Linked DNA regions of Drosophila melanogaster. The gene in region 2 interacts genetically with the main gene of each other region. Each region holds a gene or a part of one and is shown on either strand. Other genes may lie near its edges.

The links.
Region 1: of bsk (region 2) and vito, changing one suppresses a phenotype caused by changing the other (phenotypic suppression), as found in Drosophila melanogaster (one study listed by BioGRID).
Region 3: of bsk (region 2) and Atg9, changing one suppresses a phenotype caused by changing the other (phenotypic suppression), as found in Drosophila melanogaster (one study listed by BioGRID).

What each region holds. Positions count from the first base shown.
Region 1 is NT_037436.4:5,775,310-5,779,797, reverse strand, and holds vito (viriato), read left to right. Parts: upstream 1-2,464; 5' UTR 2,465-2,532; coding exon 2,533-2,594; intron 2,595-2,653; coding exon 2,654-3,386; 3' UTR 3,387-3,474; downstream 3,475-4,488. Other genes in the region: Myt1, read left to right, coding at 257-1,211, 1,274-1,419, 1,476-1,840, 1,899-2,034; scny (scrawny), read right to left, coding at 4,226-4,488.
Region 2 is NT_033779.5:10,246,174-10,252,296, reverse strand, and holds bsk (basket), read left to right. Parts: upstream 1-1,795; 5' UTR 1,796-2,016; intron 2,017-2,554; exon of another isoform or gene 2,555-3,037; 5' UTR 3,038-3,086; coding exon 3,087-3,202; intron 3,203-3,382; coding exon 3,383-3,512; intron 3,513-3,574; coding exon 3,575-3,772; intron 3,773-3,835; coding exon 3,836-4,100; intron 4,101-4,161; coding exon 4,162-4,445; intron 4,446-4,523; coding exon 4,524-4,649; 3' UTR 4,650-4,795; downstream 4,796-6,123. Other genes in the region: Ror, read right to left, coding at 1-22, 233-330; CG31717 (uncharacterized protein), read right to left, coding at 796-1,401, 1,470-1,478. UniProt on the Drosophila melanogaster protein: Mitogen-activated protein kinase and key component of the c-Jun N-terminal kinase (JNK) pathway which phosphorylate and activate transcription factors involved in a wide range of biological processes including response to various stresses, cellular proliferation, differentiation and migration, and regulation of cell shape.
Region 3 is NT_033778.4:16,292,201-16,298,246, forward strand, and holds Atg9 (Autophagy-related 9), read left to right. Parts: upstream 1-2,199; 5' UTR 2,200-2,320; coding exon 2,321-4,858; coding exon of another isoform or gene 4,859-4,879; 3' UTR 4,880-5,032; downstream 5,033-6,046. Other genes in the region: CG30100 (uncharacterized protein), read left to right, coding at 1-55; CG7747 (uncharacterized protein), read right to left, coding at 110-524, 583-734, 789-1,743, 1,803-1,834.

The DNA of each region.
Region 1 (4,488 bases), on a different chromosome or scaffold from region 2:
TACTCAACTCTCCCATCTCTATTTACGATAATTGAGGCATTTAAGAGGCAAATCATGTAAAATCTGTATACGATTATAGGAGCTTAACTTAATTGAAATCAATAATTATACTCCCAATAAAGATCAAAAATATAAGATACATGTGTTAAATGAATTAGCCGGCTCTTATTGTCCCAAGCGAAGAAGCCAGGATTTCGCCGGCTGTCCGATATGGTCACACTCGCCCACTCATAAGAAAAGACACCCAAAATTGAAAATGGAAAAGCATCATCGCCTGCCCCTCCCGGAATTGCACGACGACAAACACAGACACAAACAGTGCAATGGGGAGAACAGCAATCGCTTCCGGCCGCCCAAGTACAAGACGCGTGGCTACGTCGCCGTGGACAACAACAATCTGAACCGAAGCCAATCGCTGGGCTCCTGTAGCACCAACAGTTCCCAGATCGCGCACGCGATCTCCTTCCGGGACGCCGGATGTTCGGATTCCAGTACGCTGCCCTCGTCACCAGTCCAGGCCGAGCTGAGCACCCTCTCCCTGTCACACTTCGAGCAGTGCTTCGAAAGGCTGGCCAAACTGGGCGAAGGATCCTTCGGCGAGGTATTCCAGGTGCGCGATCGCTCCGACGGCCAGTTATATGCCGTCAAGATCTCCAAGCAACTGTTCCGCGGCGAACAGTACCGCGCAGAGCGGCTGGAAGAGGTGCGGCGCTACGAGGAGTTCTCCGGCCATGAGAACTGCATCCGGTTCATCCGCGCCTGGGAGCAGTACGACCGACTGTACATGCAAATGGAGCTGTGCCGCGAAAGTCTGGAGCAGTACTTGCTGCGCTGCCAAAGGATACCGGAGGAGCGCATCTGGCACATCCTGCTGGATCTGCTGCGGGGTCTCAAGTCGCTGCACGACCGGAATCTCATCCATCTGGACATTAAACTGGACAACGTTCTGATCGGCGAGGACGACGAGACGTGCAAGCTGGCAGACTTTGGACTGGTCATCGATGTGGACAGGGCCAACAGCCATCACGCCACGGAGGGAGATTCGAGGTATATGGCTCCAGAGATCCTGCAGGGTCACTTCTCCAAGGCTGCGGACATCTTCAGTCTGGGCATTGCCATGCTAGAGCTGGCATGCTACATGGATCTTCCTTCCAACGGCCCACTGTGGCACGAACTGAGGCACGGCATTCTGCCCGAGGAGTTCATAAACAGTGAGTTGCGAACTAGCTGCCTACTTAAATGGCAGGTTGCTAAAGCCTTTCTCTTCGCACAGAAATATCACTGGAGCTGCAGTCGGTAATTAAGTCCATGATGAAGCCCGATCCTGCGCAGAGGCCGACGGCCGAGCAGCTACTCTCACATCCCAAGCTGCAGTACCTGCAAAAGAAGCGCAAGTCGCTGATGAACTTCAGCATGCTGGTAAGCATTCCCAAGCACATCTTTGAGAATCAATCTTAACCCTTGACAACTTGCAGTCGCGTAGTTTTAGGCGATCTCGCCGCGCCGTTTGGGGAAGAATGTGCAATTGGAAAACAGCCGCCTTTCGTTACCTTCTATACTTCCTGGAGGTCCTGCATCTATGCAAGCCCATAACGGCCTCACAGCCCAATATTAACATAGTGCCCTCCTCGCCTTCGTCAAAGGGAGTGCCTCTGGTGCCTCAGGTGGAGTTCCAGCTGGTAGGATCCACACCCATTGCCAATCGTGACTGCTATGCCTCCGACTTCCTTTCCGGCGAGGACCCGCTGGACCTCTCCAATCAGGGTAGCCCCAACGTAATAAATTCCACGCCATTGAACACAAACCAAGGCAAATCCCGTCTGGATTTGCTAAAGAATAAGTAAGTACCCTTAATCGATTAGCTCATGGACTAGCGCACATAACCCATCCGCTTTCAGTGTTGATTCAATGGGCAGGTACGTTCATGTACACGATTTCGAGAGTCCGTGTTCCGCCCTATCTTCCGCCAAGGTCCTGGACACCTCATCGTTCCGACGCAAAAAGCTCTTCGTCCTGGAATATGACGACGAGTGAGTGAGTACGGTGCCAGCGAGCAACGTAAACCGAATGAATTTATGATAAACCCAATATATATCAGTTACGAAACGAATACCAGATACATATGGCAACAGAATATATCGTTAATTGTATTTTGATTAGTTCTAGACCGTAGTGTTGTACGAAGTTCCCTAGATATAGTCTTACGATTGTGTAATGTTAATGCTTCTTTAGAAGAACTTGTTGAACTTGAACATATAATCATGTGATATATATACGAAAAGCGATTTGAAAAGTTTAAAAATAAAAAACTTATTGAAATTGAAACCTGCACTGAATGCCATCTATGACATATGATAACAACAAATTAAAGGTAAAAACCAAGAAACGTATAACTATAAAAATTTTTTTTAAAACATTTTTGAATTCTAACGTACCTTTCGTTTCGGGGAAAAGTATTTTGCCCATCTGGTAACACTGGCCGCTCGCACATGTTGAAAACGTAAACAAAAACGAGTAGCACAATTTTTGAAAATGACCAGGAAAAAGGCTCCTAAGAAAAAAACAGAGGTTGTATTCGACAACAAGAAACGCATGTAAGTAAGGAGACACAGAATCCCCGGAGGATACTAATGCCCACATCCCAATCCCGCAGAGAGTTTCTCAGTGGCTTCCGGAAAAGAAAGAATGAGCGACGATCGCGTGCAAAGGCGGATCTGGAAAGAAACCTTAAGAACGAGCGCAAGCGCATACGGCAGGAGGTAAAGGATGGCTTTAACCACCTGAAGAAATCCTTCGAACCGCTGCGCGAGCTCACCGAGGAGGACAAGGCCGAGGAGGCGGAGCAGCAGCAGGAGGAGACCTACGAAGATGATGAAGTGCAGGTGAAGATCGTGGAGCTGACCACCAACGATCTGGCCGCCAAGCGCAATATGTTGGGTGCCAACACGGCAGAGGAAAGCGAACCGGAGGAGCAGGCTGACCAGAGCGAGGAGGACGAAGCCGACCAGGCCAATAGGATACCCGGCATGGATTTCGATCCCAACGCCCGCAAACGTAAACCCAAGCCGGAGGACGAAGAGGAGCCGAAGGCCACAAAGTCCAACAACTCCACGCTGCCGGACATCAAGAGCAAAAAGGATCTCGACCGCCTGATGAAGACCAAAACGCTGAAGAAAATGCACCAGAGCAAACTGTTCAAGCAGAAGGAGCGCCTGGACAAGAAGAACAACCAGAAGAAGGCCAAGCGGGACCGCAACAACACCATCAAGAGCGTTCCCAAGCATCAGCGCAAGCAGCTCAAGTACGGAAAGGCCAACCAGACCAAATACCGAAAGGGTCGGATGGTCAACAAAAAGGAGCTGCGGCGCAAACGGAATGCCGACTAAATTTAGCTTTTAGCATAGTTTGTTTTACGGTTTATTTACTATTACTCTAGTTAATCAAATAAACTGTATAATTCCTGGCTTGTACAATAATTTTGCTAACACGCCGATGCGTTCGATCTTTTTTTTTACCGCTCTCCGTCGTATTCATCATGGTACATATTACATCCAACATACTTTATTTTTTTTGGGTTATTAACATTGGCAATATCGCTGCTCGCCGCCGTTCGGTTATGCTCTATAAATAAAAGGGGGGCGCCGCTAAAATTATAATAAAATTTTCATGGGTCCTAAATCTAGTCTCGAAATCTATGTACAAAGTTTGCTTGCATGCTGGTTAGGCATAGGTTCTTAACGTATTATTGGGTTGCTTTATTTCCATTCTGCGCAGTTGTGCAGCCTGTTTAGTGTTTGCCTTTACGGGGTTAACATTTTTTAAAAATGAAACATTAGAGCGGTAACCTTGTTGTCTGATTATTGGCGTCATTAAAGCGGTATCGCCAGCACGCGATTGATGCAAGGATACCGATTCAATGAAATAAAAACGAATTCAGCCAAACACAATCTTTCATTTCTTTTTTTTTATCGTACTTAATGATAGCCTTAGTTTCTAATGGGACTGTGTGCTTCGGTGAAGGTTGGGGATGATTTTGGGAGGCAACAATTATGTTCTAGCTTATAGCTTACAGTCCTACGCCTACTCCTATTTCTAATATGTTCATCATCAGCAGTTAAAAAACGTTTACAAAACTCATGCGAAATTGAAATCCAATAACAAATGCACACGCCGCAGTCGCATCGGCGTCATCTCTTTCTCCTGACCCTCGCCTATCCGCATCCAGTTAGGTTTGCTGCTGCTGCTGCGCCGACGGTTGTCGCCGACTGAAGCCACCGCCGGCGGACAGATGTCGTTGCAGGGCTCGCTGCTGCTGGAACTTGGCGCTGCCTGGTCCTCCGAAGCGGTTGAACTTGAACTTGTTGCGCTGCTGGAAGTTCTGGCGATAGTTCTGATTGTAGAATCGCGGAAATCCTCCACCTCCGCCGTTCTTGTTCCAGCGCTTCTGGCCCTCGTACTCCTGGAATGGATTGTACCCGGGCGTGCTGT
Region 2 (6,123 bases):
AATACCTGATGATTGCTGGAAACTGCAGGGCAAATAATATATTGCATTTTTAAGGATTAAAAGGATAAGGGCGTCTAAAGATTTCTGCATTCGAGTATACACTATGTTTAGTAATTTAAAAATATATAAAACATGTTAAGCTCATGATTTCATTAATTATTAATTCCACACAAAAGTATTTCGCTAATTATTGTTGCGGAAACTTGGGAAAACTTTCAGTGAAAATACCTACCCATATATTCTTGAGTCCACATTATGGCTCCCCACATCCTTTTTTGTAAATAAAAGCACGAGCGAAATGCAGACTATAAATGCCGAGTATTTGTTCATATTGCTTAATCTAGCTAACAATATGAAGCCTTTTGTTATTTCAATAGTCCAATTGACATGCCAACGATTCCGAAAATATTTTTGTATTTATCCTTTCGCGAAAACTTTATGTGGCATACAACATTTCATCCCCCGACGAAGTCGTTGGGGTTGTTGACTCCTTATCGATGAATCGATATATTTAGGAGTGCTATGACTCGGAACAAAGGAATTACACTATAATTTCTTATAATTAATAATCCAAATATCTTCAAAAGCTTTATTTATTTTATTAAAGATGGTTGTATAACGACTTTAGTCTCATTTAAAGTACACTTTCCCTTTTCACAGTGAAATAAGGGTAGAAAAATTATGCGAAATACACAATAATATGAATTTAACATTAACAATGTATTTGGTTAAAGCATTTATCATAATGATCTAGAGATTATCTATTGCTTTCGGTGTTCCAATCGTAACTTATCGTTACTCCATGCTGTCGACAGTTTCCTCGGTAACAAAGCCCACAATGCTAAATGCAGTTTCCTCGCTGATCCACAGAAGTCCCACGATTAGTGCCTCCAACACTCCGATGGCAGCACCGGCGCAGATATCCAAAATATAATGACGCTGGAGGATGAGCCGTGAGATGGCCACGCTTACAGCCCAAGCTGTGACCGGCATTAGGAATATGATGTGAAGCGGATACAGCTTGGCGAAGAACAGCAGCACAAAGAACGCCCGGGAGGCATGACCTGAGGGAAAGCTGAACTTATCGGGTCCAATGGTCAGCATATCCTTGCTGGCCACCGGTCGCCTGCGACGAACAAGCGCCTTCAGCACGGCCACGATCACTACGTCGAGTATCAGGCCGAAGAGCATATTGACTTGCATTTGATACAAGCTCTTCGAGCTGAGCAACCAGATGAAGGCGATCCATGAGACAAACCAGGCGATTCCATCGCATGATATCTCCAGAAATCTGCTGTGGATCCGCAGGGATTTGAAGAACGACAGATTGGAGACGGCTACTACAAAATGCTTCGACACCTGAACATCCTTCTCCAATAGGTATTTAAGTGCTGGTGATGACTGCAAGGACAAGATTTTAAAATTAGCACTTATCAGCTTATGTGATTCATCAGTGGCCAAAAACCAACCGTCCTCATATCGCTGTGTATTTCAACTCTTTTGTTTTTATTTATTGTTAGTGATGACAGTATTTCTCATTCGTCATTCGATGTATACTCGATAAGTCGAGCAAAGGAATATCTAATGACCGGAACGGTGAAATGAAACACTGCGCCAACTTAGTTTTTGGTCTTTATTAAATAAATTGCATTTGTATATGTTTATTTGTAAGTTATTAACACTTATTAGGTTTTAAACCCCTAATTAAACCTAATTTTAATCAAAAGTCGATTGGCTGACTTTAGCCGTTTCTGGTTTTGGTCCTACTGCAATCTGGTCACATCGATTTAAGTAACTTTGTTGTGATCGAATATTCCAATAGATTTTCGTATATTGTATTGTATCCATGTACAATTATTCTCATGCGAAAGTGCCGCAGATAGTTGATTCTTAAATTTCAATAACATTAACATAGTTTAAAATGCTCGCCACTTTGAGTGCCCAGTGTGTAGAATAAAATAGAAAAAAAATCGATTTTATATTTTCACAAGAAATTCTGTACTTCTTCGTTAAATGGTAAATAAATATTCTATTACGTTCCATTCACATCAAATATCGAATCACCGAAACACTCCTGCAAAACGTGCCATAATCGATTGAAAGCAATTATAGTTGTGCCGGTTATGAAAAAAATTATTGATATTTAACATAAAATGTCAACTGCCCAAAGAGTGTATGTACCTATGTATGCGCAAATGTCTAACGTTTACATATCGACACTACCCGAAGCGTAGACCGCTTTATTATCTGCAGCGCAAACGAGCGCTTTTTCGATGTACGAATACGGGGAATATCTTTTATCTGAGAGATAGTTTGAAAAGTTACTAAATTATCGACCCACATTTGTGTGGCTGTATGTGCATATGTATGTATGTGGCTTACATCTTACACATATGTATACCAGTAGAAGTTTACAGTTTTCATCCGCATACAAATCGTGTGTATGTACATATTTACACAGGCAACGGCATGCATACACATGAACGCTATGTACATCGCTGTGGTCCAACATTCCGTACTTTTATGTTTAAGCCGGACATATCGATTTTAAATCGGTTTTTTTTCCTGTGCGTGCCGCTAAACACTTTGCTCAAAGAACGAAACGCTCGGTTATTTCTGTTGGGTGTTTTTCCAACCATATTCGACATGTGTTCGGCAAACATTTAAATGCTTATCAATAGAAAAGGGGGTTCGGCATTCGAAGTCGGCTCAAATAAGTGACTGCGTTATGCAATTGTATCTTTTTGAAGGAACTCGATATTTTTTGCTCGTGGTTTGGCAACAAACTCGCCACACACTAGCCAGTAAATTTCACCCCTCGCGACAACAGAGACCCACTTAATGGCCATAACATTCTGCCGAAATAAGGCCAGGCAAAGTTAATGTTTTCCTACCCCCTAATTCCAGACGAAGTTGTCTGAAAACTGCCTCCACCCATTCAGAATGGAGCCATACATACGGACGTCTTTGCTCCTTATATAAAACAGAATCACACTGTAAAACCGTATTGATTTATCTTATTTACCCTCTTGAAAAGGCCGATATGCTCCTTGCTCTCAACTAGTAATAAATAAAATCAGTGAACAATGACGACAGCTCAGCACCAACACTACACCGTCGAGGTGGGGGACACCAACTTCACCATCCACAGTCGGTACATTAATCTACGGCCCATAGGATCAGGTGCCCAAGGAATAGTATGGTAAGTGGTTATCAATATGTTATTACATATAATACATTTAACAATTTTTTGGCTTAAACAATTAAGATATTTCGCATGAGTATGAAGTCATATTTGTAACGCTCCATTGTATATTAGATTAGATTAGATGGGATTAGCTGGAATATGAAAAAAAAAAATAACAAATTTAATGCATTTCAGCGCCGCTTACGATACTATCACCCAGCAAAATGTGGCGATTAAGAAACTATCTCGACCATTCCAAAATGTAACCCATGCCAAGCGAGCATATAGGGAATTCAAGCTAATGAAGCTTGTTAACCATAAAAACGTATGAAACTTGCACCTTTAACTTTAACAAATTTCTACTAAACATAGGTATTTAATCCGTAGATAATTGGCTTACTTAATGCTTTTACGCCGCAAAGGAACTTGGAAGAGTTTCAGGATGTCTACCTGGTCATGGAGCTGATGGACGCTAATCTCTGCCAGGTCATCCAAATGGACTTGGATCACGACAGAATGTCCTATTTGCTTTATCAAATGTTGTGCGGAATAAAACATTTACACTCAGCAGGAATTATTCACAGAGTACGTACAGTATGAATACATCTTTAAAATGAGTATGAAATATATGAAATACTTCATTTGCAGGACTTAAAGCCATCCAATATAGTTGTAAAGGCCGACTGCACTCTAAAAATTTTGGATTTCGGTCTGGCACGTACTGCAGGAACTACCTTTATGATGACTCCCTATGTGGTCACCCGATATTACAGGGCTCCAGAGGTCATTTTGGGCATGGGATACACAGAGAACGTGGACATATGGTCCGTCGGTTGCATTATGGGCGAAATGATACGGGGCGGTGTGCTGTTTCCTGGAACGGATCATATAGATCAGTGGAATAAAATTATTGGTATGTTGCTGCTTAAATAACTTGATTCTCGTTATGATTGTCAACTTTTACGTTTTTTCAGAGCAATTAGGTACACCATCACCCTCGTTTATGCAACGGTTACAGCCAACCGTCCGAAACTATGTGGAAAATCGTCCTAGATACACTGGATACTCATTTGATAGACTTTTCCCCGATGGCTTGTTTCCAAATGATAATAATCAGAATAGCCGCCGGAAGGCTTCTGACGCTAGAAATCTTCTTAGTAAAATGCTAGTCATTGATCCAGAGCAGCGGATATCTGTGGACGAGGCTTTGAAGCATGAATATATCAACGTGTGGTATGATGCTGAGGAAGTGGATGCTGTAAGTGATTCTGGCATAAACTGGATTTCTAGGAATGTTGAATGTTTTTAATCGCTTAATTGCATGCATCTCTTGCAGCCCGCTCCGGAGCCATATGATCACAGCGTGGACGAAAGGGAACACACTGTGGAGCAGTGGAAGGAGCTAATCTATGAGGAAGTCATGGACTACGAAGCACACAATACAAATAATAGAACGCGGTAGAGAACGACTTTTTCCTCCTTAGTCAGTCACAAGAAAACTAAAGCTTACCAACAATACGGCGTGTATTGTTAAATTATTACAACAAATAAAATATTCAAATTGTATTTAAAAATATAGTAACCATTAAAAAATAAAATCAATATGCGAAACTTTGTAATTTCTTACTCATCCTTGTTTTTTGAGCCCGCTTTCTTAAGTTAAATCGTTAAAATACCAGTTTAATCATTTCATTGTCCTGATTTCAGGAGCTAATTACATTTTAATCTTTGTATAAATTCATAAAATTTAAATGGAAAAGTTTAACCATATAAATTATTTCGGTATATAAAGTCGATACATACTTTTAAAATTTTGTTTCATACAAGAATATGGAAAGTAGATAATTTAGTTACCGATAAAAACATTTCTAAAATACAAAAAATTTAAAATGATGATTAAATAAAAAACTGTTATACTAAATTTAAACGAAACAAACGGTCATTCGATAACTCAATTAGTATCGAATAAGCCGGCGTGTAAATCGGGCTGGCAACTCTCACCGGTGTAGAGATCGGGATGGCAACTTCGTACTGTTATTCCTATGCTGCGATAACGATAACAGCAAAGTGTCATCGCGAATAAATGTGGGTTTGATAATAAAGAATTGCGTTGGTGAACAATAATAATACAAATGCTAAATGTATCGCGCGGATAACTAGTAAACACTGATTTCGCGCATATCGGGCATACGGGCAGCTAGACGTCTTAGGTAACACATTTCCCAGCCACATTGGCGTTGAGGTATTATTTCCCATATCCATGTGCGTTTGTAAATGATACCACCAGAGTGTGCCATATGTATCGTTGTTTGTACATACATGCCTACGGGGAAAAATAACTCGCAGATACATATGTATGTAAGATGTATTAGAATTCCACAGATATATGTACATATAAATATATATATATATTTATGATGCTCATCTATAAAACAAAATATGTACAAACATACGCGCGCACGTACTTATGTATGTACATATGTACGTACATATATGTATAATAAAATGAGCATCTAGCTGCGGTTATCTTAATGCAATGCGCAGAAACCTGAAAACGAAATAAACAATCTTTACAGCGCCAGCACAGTGAGCCAATTATGAATTCACAATTCCACATCCAATTCCGATTCCGAATTCCATCGCTTTACATCCTAATTCGAATACGTCGCGCCGCGTAAGCTGCACTCGAATATTGACATAAACGACGTAATTGCGTGTTTTGATTGCGATTTCCGATGCTCGATGTTGACAGACGGCAAGGATTTTTTTTGCCAGCCGACATTGCGAATGCTTTTCGCGTGTTTGCGTTGTGAAAAGCGATTTGTTGTTCCGGCAGTTGGAAATGTTTTGTGCTGTTTATGCTTAGAAAAGCAAATGTATTGCACAAAACTCGTGTTTCCTACATTAGTAAAGCCTATAACTTAGGTATATGTTTC
Region 3 (6,046 bases), on a different chromosome or scaffold from region 2:
CTGGCAGGATAGAGAGCGCACAGATGGGGGAACCAAATCTACCGATAAAGAGTGATAACTTTTACTTCTAAAACGGTCTTTTAAATATTTATTTTTGGAAAACAATGGGTTACCAACTGGAGAAATCTCCAAAACCATTCGCCAGTTTCTTCTTCTTGGCTGCTTGAGCGGATGTAAGTGGCGCCTCTGGCTTTTTGGCCACTGTCTGAAGTTTCAGGTACTTGCCTACGCCCTCTCTGTACACCTTCAGTGGCTCCTTCATGCGCTTTTGCTGCTCCTCCTTCTTGACAATCTCCTCCTTGCCGGCCGCCTCCTCCTCGCGCTCCTTGGCCAACTGTTCGGCTGCCTCGGCAAATGGATTCACAAAGACCTGTGAGGACTCAATGATGATGTCCTCAATTGGTCTGTCCTTGTTATCCACCTCGATATTTTCCATCTTTTGAAGAGTGTCTAATCCTCCGACAAGCTTTCCAAAGATGGTGTGTTTGCCGTCGAGATGTTTGCAAGAGCGATAGGTGATAAAGCTACGAAACAGCGTATACTTGCAAAAGCATTGAAAAAATGTCACTTTGTGGTACTTACAACTGAGAGCCATTGGTGTTGGGTCCCGAATTGGCCATTGATAGCACTCCTCGGCCCGTGTGCGTAAGATTCGGCTTAAACTCGTCCTCAAACTTCTTGCCCCAAATGGACTCGCCACCAGAACCACTTCCAGTGGGATCACCACCTTGCACCTGTGGATAAAACCATAGTAAATTAAAGTTTCTCTCAAAAGAGATCGTACTTACAATAAAATTCCTTATGGACCGGTGAAACATAACATTATTGTAGTAACCATTGGCGCAATGCTTGATGAAGTTATCGCAGGCTCGAGGAGTTTGATCGCAGAAGAGCTCCAGGTTGAGAGGGCCAAGGTTCGTATTTAAACGAACGTAGCCCTTCTTTTTTACCCGCTCGTACTTGACCAAATCATCATCTATGATAGCCGCCTCTATTTGGGAAACGGGCACCATGGCGGTAGACGTAAAACTGGCCGCCACCGCTCCAGTTGAATAGTGAGCTGCGTTGAACTTGTCAGCTGTACGCTTCGAAGTGGAGGCCTCCTCTTCCGCTGGCTGATAGTCCTGCTGCAGCTGTTCCAGCGTCTCCTTGGTCTCCAGATTCATGGTCTTAATGCGGCCGCTGGCTGGATTCTTTCTCTCTTGCTGCTCTTCTTCCGTCAGGACTCGTAGATTCTTCTTAATATGATAGAAGGTCGAGATGTCGTACTTTTCCAGCTTCTGAGGATCTTGTATTGTGATGATATCCTTACGCTGGAATGGCGTGTCATCCACCAGATCCTTCCAGTTCTTTGTCTTAATGTTCAGCTGGTCGATTGCCTCCCAGCAGTATACATTTCCAGTTGTGGCCACCGCCACGATGTGCGAGTTCTTGCTGAAGGGCTTGAACAAGGCGGGGCAGTGGTACTCATCGTTTGCATTCCTGTGGAAGTTCAGCTTCACCAATGACTTGGAGTCCATCTTCTGCCCGGTGATGGGGTTCACCTTAAAGGTCTTGAGAAACTTAAGAATGGCCTCGTACTCGAACACATTGCCCTGTAGATCGCAGTAGGGCATCTCGTAGGGCGCCATCGTAATGCAGCAGTGCTCGAATGGCAGCCGCTTGAACTTGACATGGTCGTTCTCCAAGGATTCCACTTTTTTGCCGCCATACAGCTCACTCCACTCCGTGTACGTGAGGTACCTGTTAAAGCAATGGGTAGTCTTCATTTCCATAACTCGCTGGATGTGCTAAATACTTACATTTTGTCCTTTTGATGCTGCCTTTTACCCATCTTGGCTGTTTGTTTTTTTAAATTAAATTTGCAATAAAGTAAGAGCTACAAATAGTTTGTTTACAAATGCGGGAGAGAACTGCCAACTCTGTGCAGATTTATGTTGATGGATATCTAGGCTGTTCACACTTCGGGTACCATAAACAAAAGTATCGAGTATTTCAAAAAGTTAAAAACGAATATAAAAACAAATAACAAGAAAAATGCAAATTTAATTATTTATAAGTATTAATTTTATAAGATACCTTTGATTCTCCAATGTGTGTTATTTAGAGATGCCCTGGCAGTGTGAACACTGCACATTGGGCGCTGCAAGAGGTTCGCCTTACTTATTCATTACCCAGTATTTTGACGTTGGCCAACACTTCTCTTAGGAGAGTCAGCTGTTTGCTGAGAAGGTTCAGCAGAATCAAACAACAAAGAATTTTCCAACTTATACTATACAGCGATATAAATAGTCAGAACGGTTGACCTTGACGTTGGGCGATGTCTAGCCCACATATCAACTACCGCTCCCTGGCCGAGGAGGCGGCCAGTCCGTTCCTGGAGCACCATCCCTCCACAGGCCAAGGCCCATCCAAAACACAAGACGCAAAAGCGAACGCAGCTGCTGCGCATTTAGACCCCCTCGGTGAACACGGGCTGGAGCAGCCGCTGGATGAGCACGACACCGAGCATGAGGGCGAGGACACGCCTCGAAACAGTGGCGTCATGATCCACATGGTTCCGGAGACGGGGCGTGCGCGGTGGAACCACATCGAGGACCTTGACTCGTTCTTCTCGCGAATGTATCAGTACCAGCAGAAGCACGGATTCACAGTGATTGTAGTGGACGAAATGCTACAGGTTCTGGAGTTTGGTTTCGTCGTCTGGCTACTTGCCTTTGTGATGCACTGCGTCCGATTTGACGTGCTCTTTGGGGACACCCCTCCAGGGGGACTTAACCCCAACAAGACAACTTTATCCGATGTGATGTACCCCACAGGCGAGTGCTTAGCCAACTTCACTTGGGTCACGTACCTGGTTGTGTTCATAGCCGCTATCTATTTGGGCATAAGGCTTCTGAAAATGGTGTACCATATTACCCAGTACGCCGATATAAAGAGATTCTACAACTCTGCGCTTCATATCGAGGATTCGGATCTGGACAACTTTACGTGGCACGAGGTGCAACAGCGGATTCGTCGCGTCCAGGCCGAACAGCATATGTGCATCGACAAGGAGTCGCTTACGGAATTGGACATCTATCACCGAGTTCTGCGCTTCAAGAACTACCTAGTGGCACTGATGAACAAGCAACTGCTGCCTGTAAGGTTCCACATACCGCTGTATGGCGAAGTGGTCTCGCTGAGTAGAGGTATGTTGTTCAACATTGACTTCATCTTGTTTCGCGGCCCTGGATCTCCCTTCCAGAACAATTGGCAGCTGCGTGATGAGTTTGCGGTAAGAAGCAATCAAACGGAGCTGGCGCAGCGACTCTCCAAACTGATATTGGGGGTGGCGTTGTTAAATTTGGTCCTAGCGCCTGTGATCTTCGTATGGCAACTTATCTACTTCAGTTTCTCCTATGCGAACATTCTTCGTAAGGAGCCTGGTGCCCTTGGCCTGCGTACATGGTCCAATTACGGCCGCCTCTACCTGCGCCACTTTAATGAACTGGACCACGAACTAGATGCCAGGCTGAATCGGGCATATGACTACGCGGACCGCTATCTCAACTCCTTTTCCTCGCCACTGGCCGCTGTGATAGCCAAAAACCTACTCTTTATCAGTGGAGGACTACTACTTCTAATCCTTGCATTGGGCATTTACGAGGAACACGTCTTCCAGGTGGAGCATTTGCTTGCCATCCTTGCAGGGCTCGGCGCCATAGGTGTGGTCTGCAGAACTCTAATACCGGATGAGAATCTCGTTTGGTGCCCAGAGCAGCTAATGACCGCCATTCTGGCGCACGTTCACTACCTGCCCTCCGAGTGGCGGCAGCAGGCGCACACGACAAAGGTTCGCCAGGAGTTTAGCAACTTCTTTCAGTTTAAGGCTGGCTACCTACTCAGCGAAATCTTCAGTCCCTTCGTCACACCCTTCGTGCTGATCTTTGTGTTCAGGCCAAAGGCCATAGAGCTGGTGCGTTTCTTCAGGACGTTCACCGTATCCGTGCGAGGAGTGGGCAACGTATGCTCCTTTGCCCAGATGGATGTTCGCAAGCATGGCAATCCCGACTGGCAGTTAACCAGCGAACTGGAGGAGATGACCCGGGCTACAGCTCAACAGCCGCAGCAGGAGCCACAGCAGCAAAGTTTGGCCGGCGGCAAAACGGAGATGTCGCTTCTTCGCTTCACCCTGAACAATCCCGAGTGGCAGATGCCCAAGGAGGCCAAGCAGTTCCTGCGCGGCGTTAGAGAGCACGCCGTTGGTGAACTAGTCCAGGCCAAGACGTCGATGGTGCAGGAGAACCCGCTGACCAACAGCCTCATCTCATTTGGCACCATGGGAGCGGATTATTGTTCCATTGCGAACTCTGTGCTGACCGCACAGGTGACGCCCCAGCAACTGGAGATTTCGCAGTCGTTGCGTCCGGGTCTAGGACCGGTATCTGGAGGATTCCCCGTCGCAGCCAGCGACTTCCGCCAGATGTTGCAGCAGAATCTGTCCGCCAGTGTCGGCCCGCTGGACAGCATGCGCCGATTGCGCCTCAGCCGGGCTGAAGGCCGCTTGGAGGGTCCGACGGATACACTGCTCTACGGACTCTGTGGTGTGGACCCGCGCGTGGGCAGCACTCCCTTGAATGTGGGCGTGGCCGACATGTGCCTCAGTGCCCTCTATTTGCACGAGCTGAACCAGCAGAAGCGCCAAGCGCGCCAGTCTCGCATCGACGAGGCCGAGGACGAGCGTCCTGGTACGAGCCATTGGCCACCGCGACCACCAGCTGCTCCGTCGGCTGATACTGGCTTCGGCTCCCGCCATACCGTGATTACCTCAAAGGCTGCCGAGAGCACGCCGCTTTTGGGTAGCATCCGCTCATAGCAGCGGCCAGAGTGGATCTAACCACCTGTAGAGCTAAGGACCACCCATTCTGCTATTAGTGATTAACCTAAATTTTAAAGTGTAAACGAACGAACGACGTCGTCTAGTGCGTAGCTAAACTAATCTGAAACTAAGCTAAACTAAACGAGAAGCAATAAACATAAATGCATTATCAAATTGATCAGCTTTATTATTTCAAAGGAAATTTCGCTAGATAATAACTAAATCTATTAGTGTGTAGTAGTTGTGATTACCCATTACCCATATTTACATATATATATATGTATAAACTATTTACCTGGTTTGATTATAATGGCTTGTAAATCCTAAGCATTATCCGTTGTGTATCCTGTGTACAACAACTGAAAGGAGACACCATAAAAAAAATCCATTTTCATTGTGAAGATTATATTTAATGTCTTTACGGCTTATCCCGATCTTAGCTCTCCGGGATGTGGGAATGCCAGCTCCATCAGCACTGATGGATGGTCCCCATTTGTAGGCATTGTTGGCACACCACATCCACCTGGTCCAGAGATCCAGATGCGAGTGGCTGAGGAGAACGCATCCAGCTGTGCTGCAGCGCCTCGTGTGTCACTTGCCACACACGAACGCCATTTGGCGATTGGTGTTGATGGCCAATGCGGCGAGCAGAGACCAAAGACTGGAGGAGATCGGGGCGCACAGAGTGGACCGACCAAGTGCGTGCCTATGAATCTCCCAAGCCGGCAGACACCGATACAGATGCAGATACCGCCGATCCCCGCCAGCTGTGGCAACATTTATGAATTATGTGCGTGCTGCATGGAGCTGGAGCTGTAGCTGTAGCTCTAGCTGGAATCTGCGGCTAGATCGCTGGAGAGCCTTTGGATCACGTTGTCTCATTTTTCCGCTGCACGCCAATTTTGGGGGGGAGCATTGGCCAACATTACACGAATGTACGAGCTGCTAGACGGCCACTTGCCCGTTTTGGATGCATCCTCCGACTCTCGCAGTGCGATGGACGTTGGAGATGCAGTTGCAGTTGCATGTAGTACTAATTGTAGAGCCCGCGATATCCGATCCGGCAGAGAGAAAAAATGTATTATCATTTTAAAAGAATATTGAAATAGTTTAACCATAAGTTCGACAATTGATAAGATAATAGATTCGTTAATATATATAGATAGATAGATAGAGAGATAGATA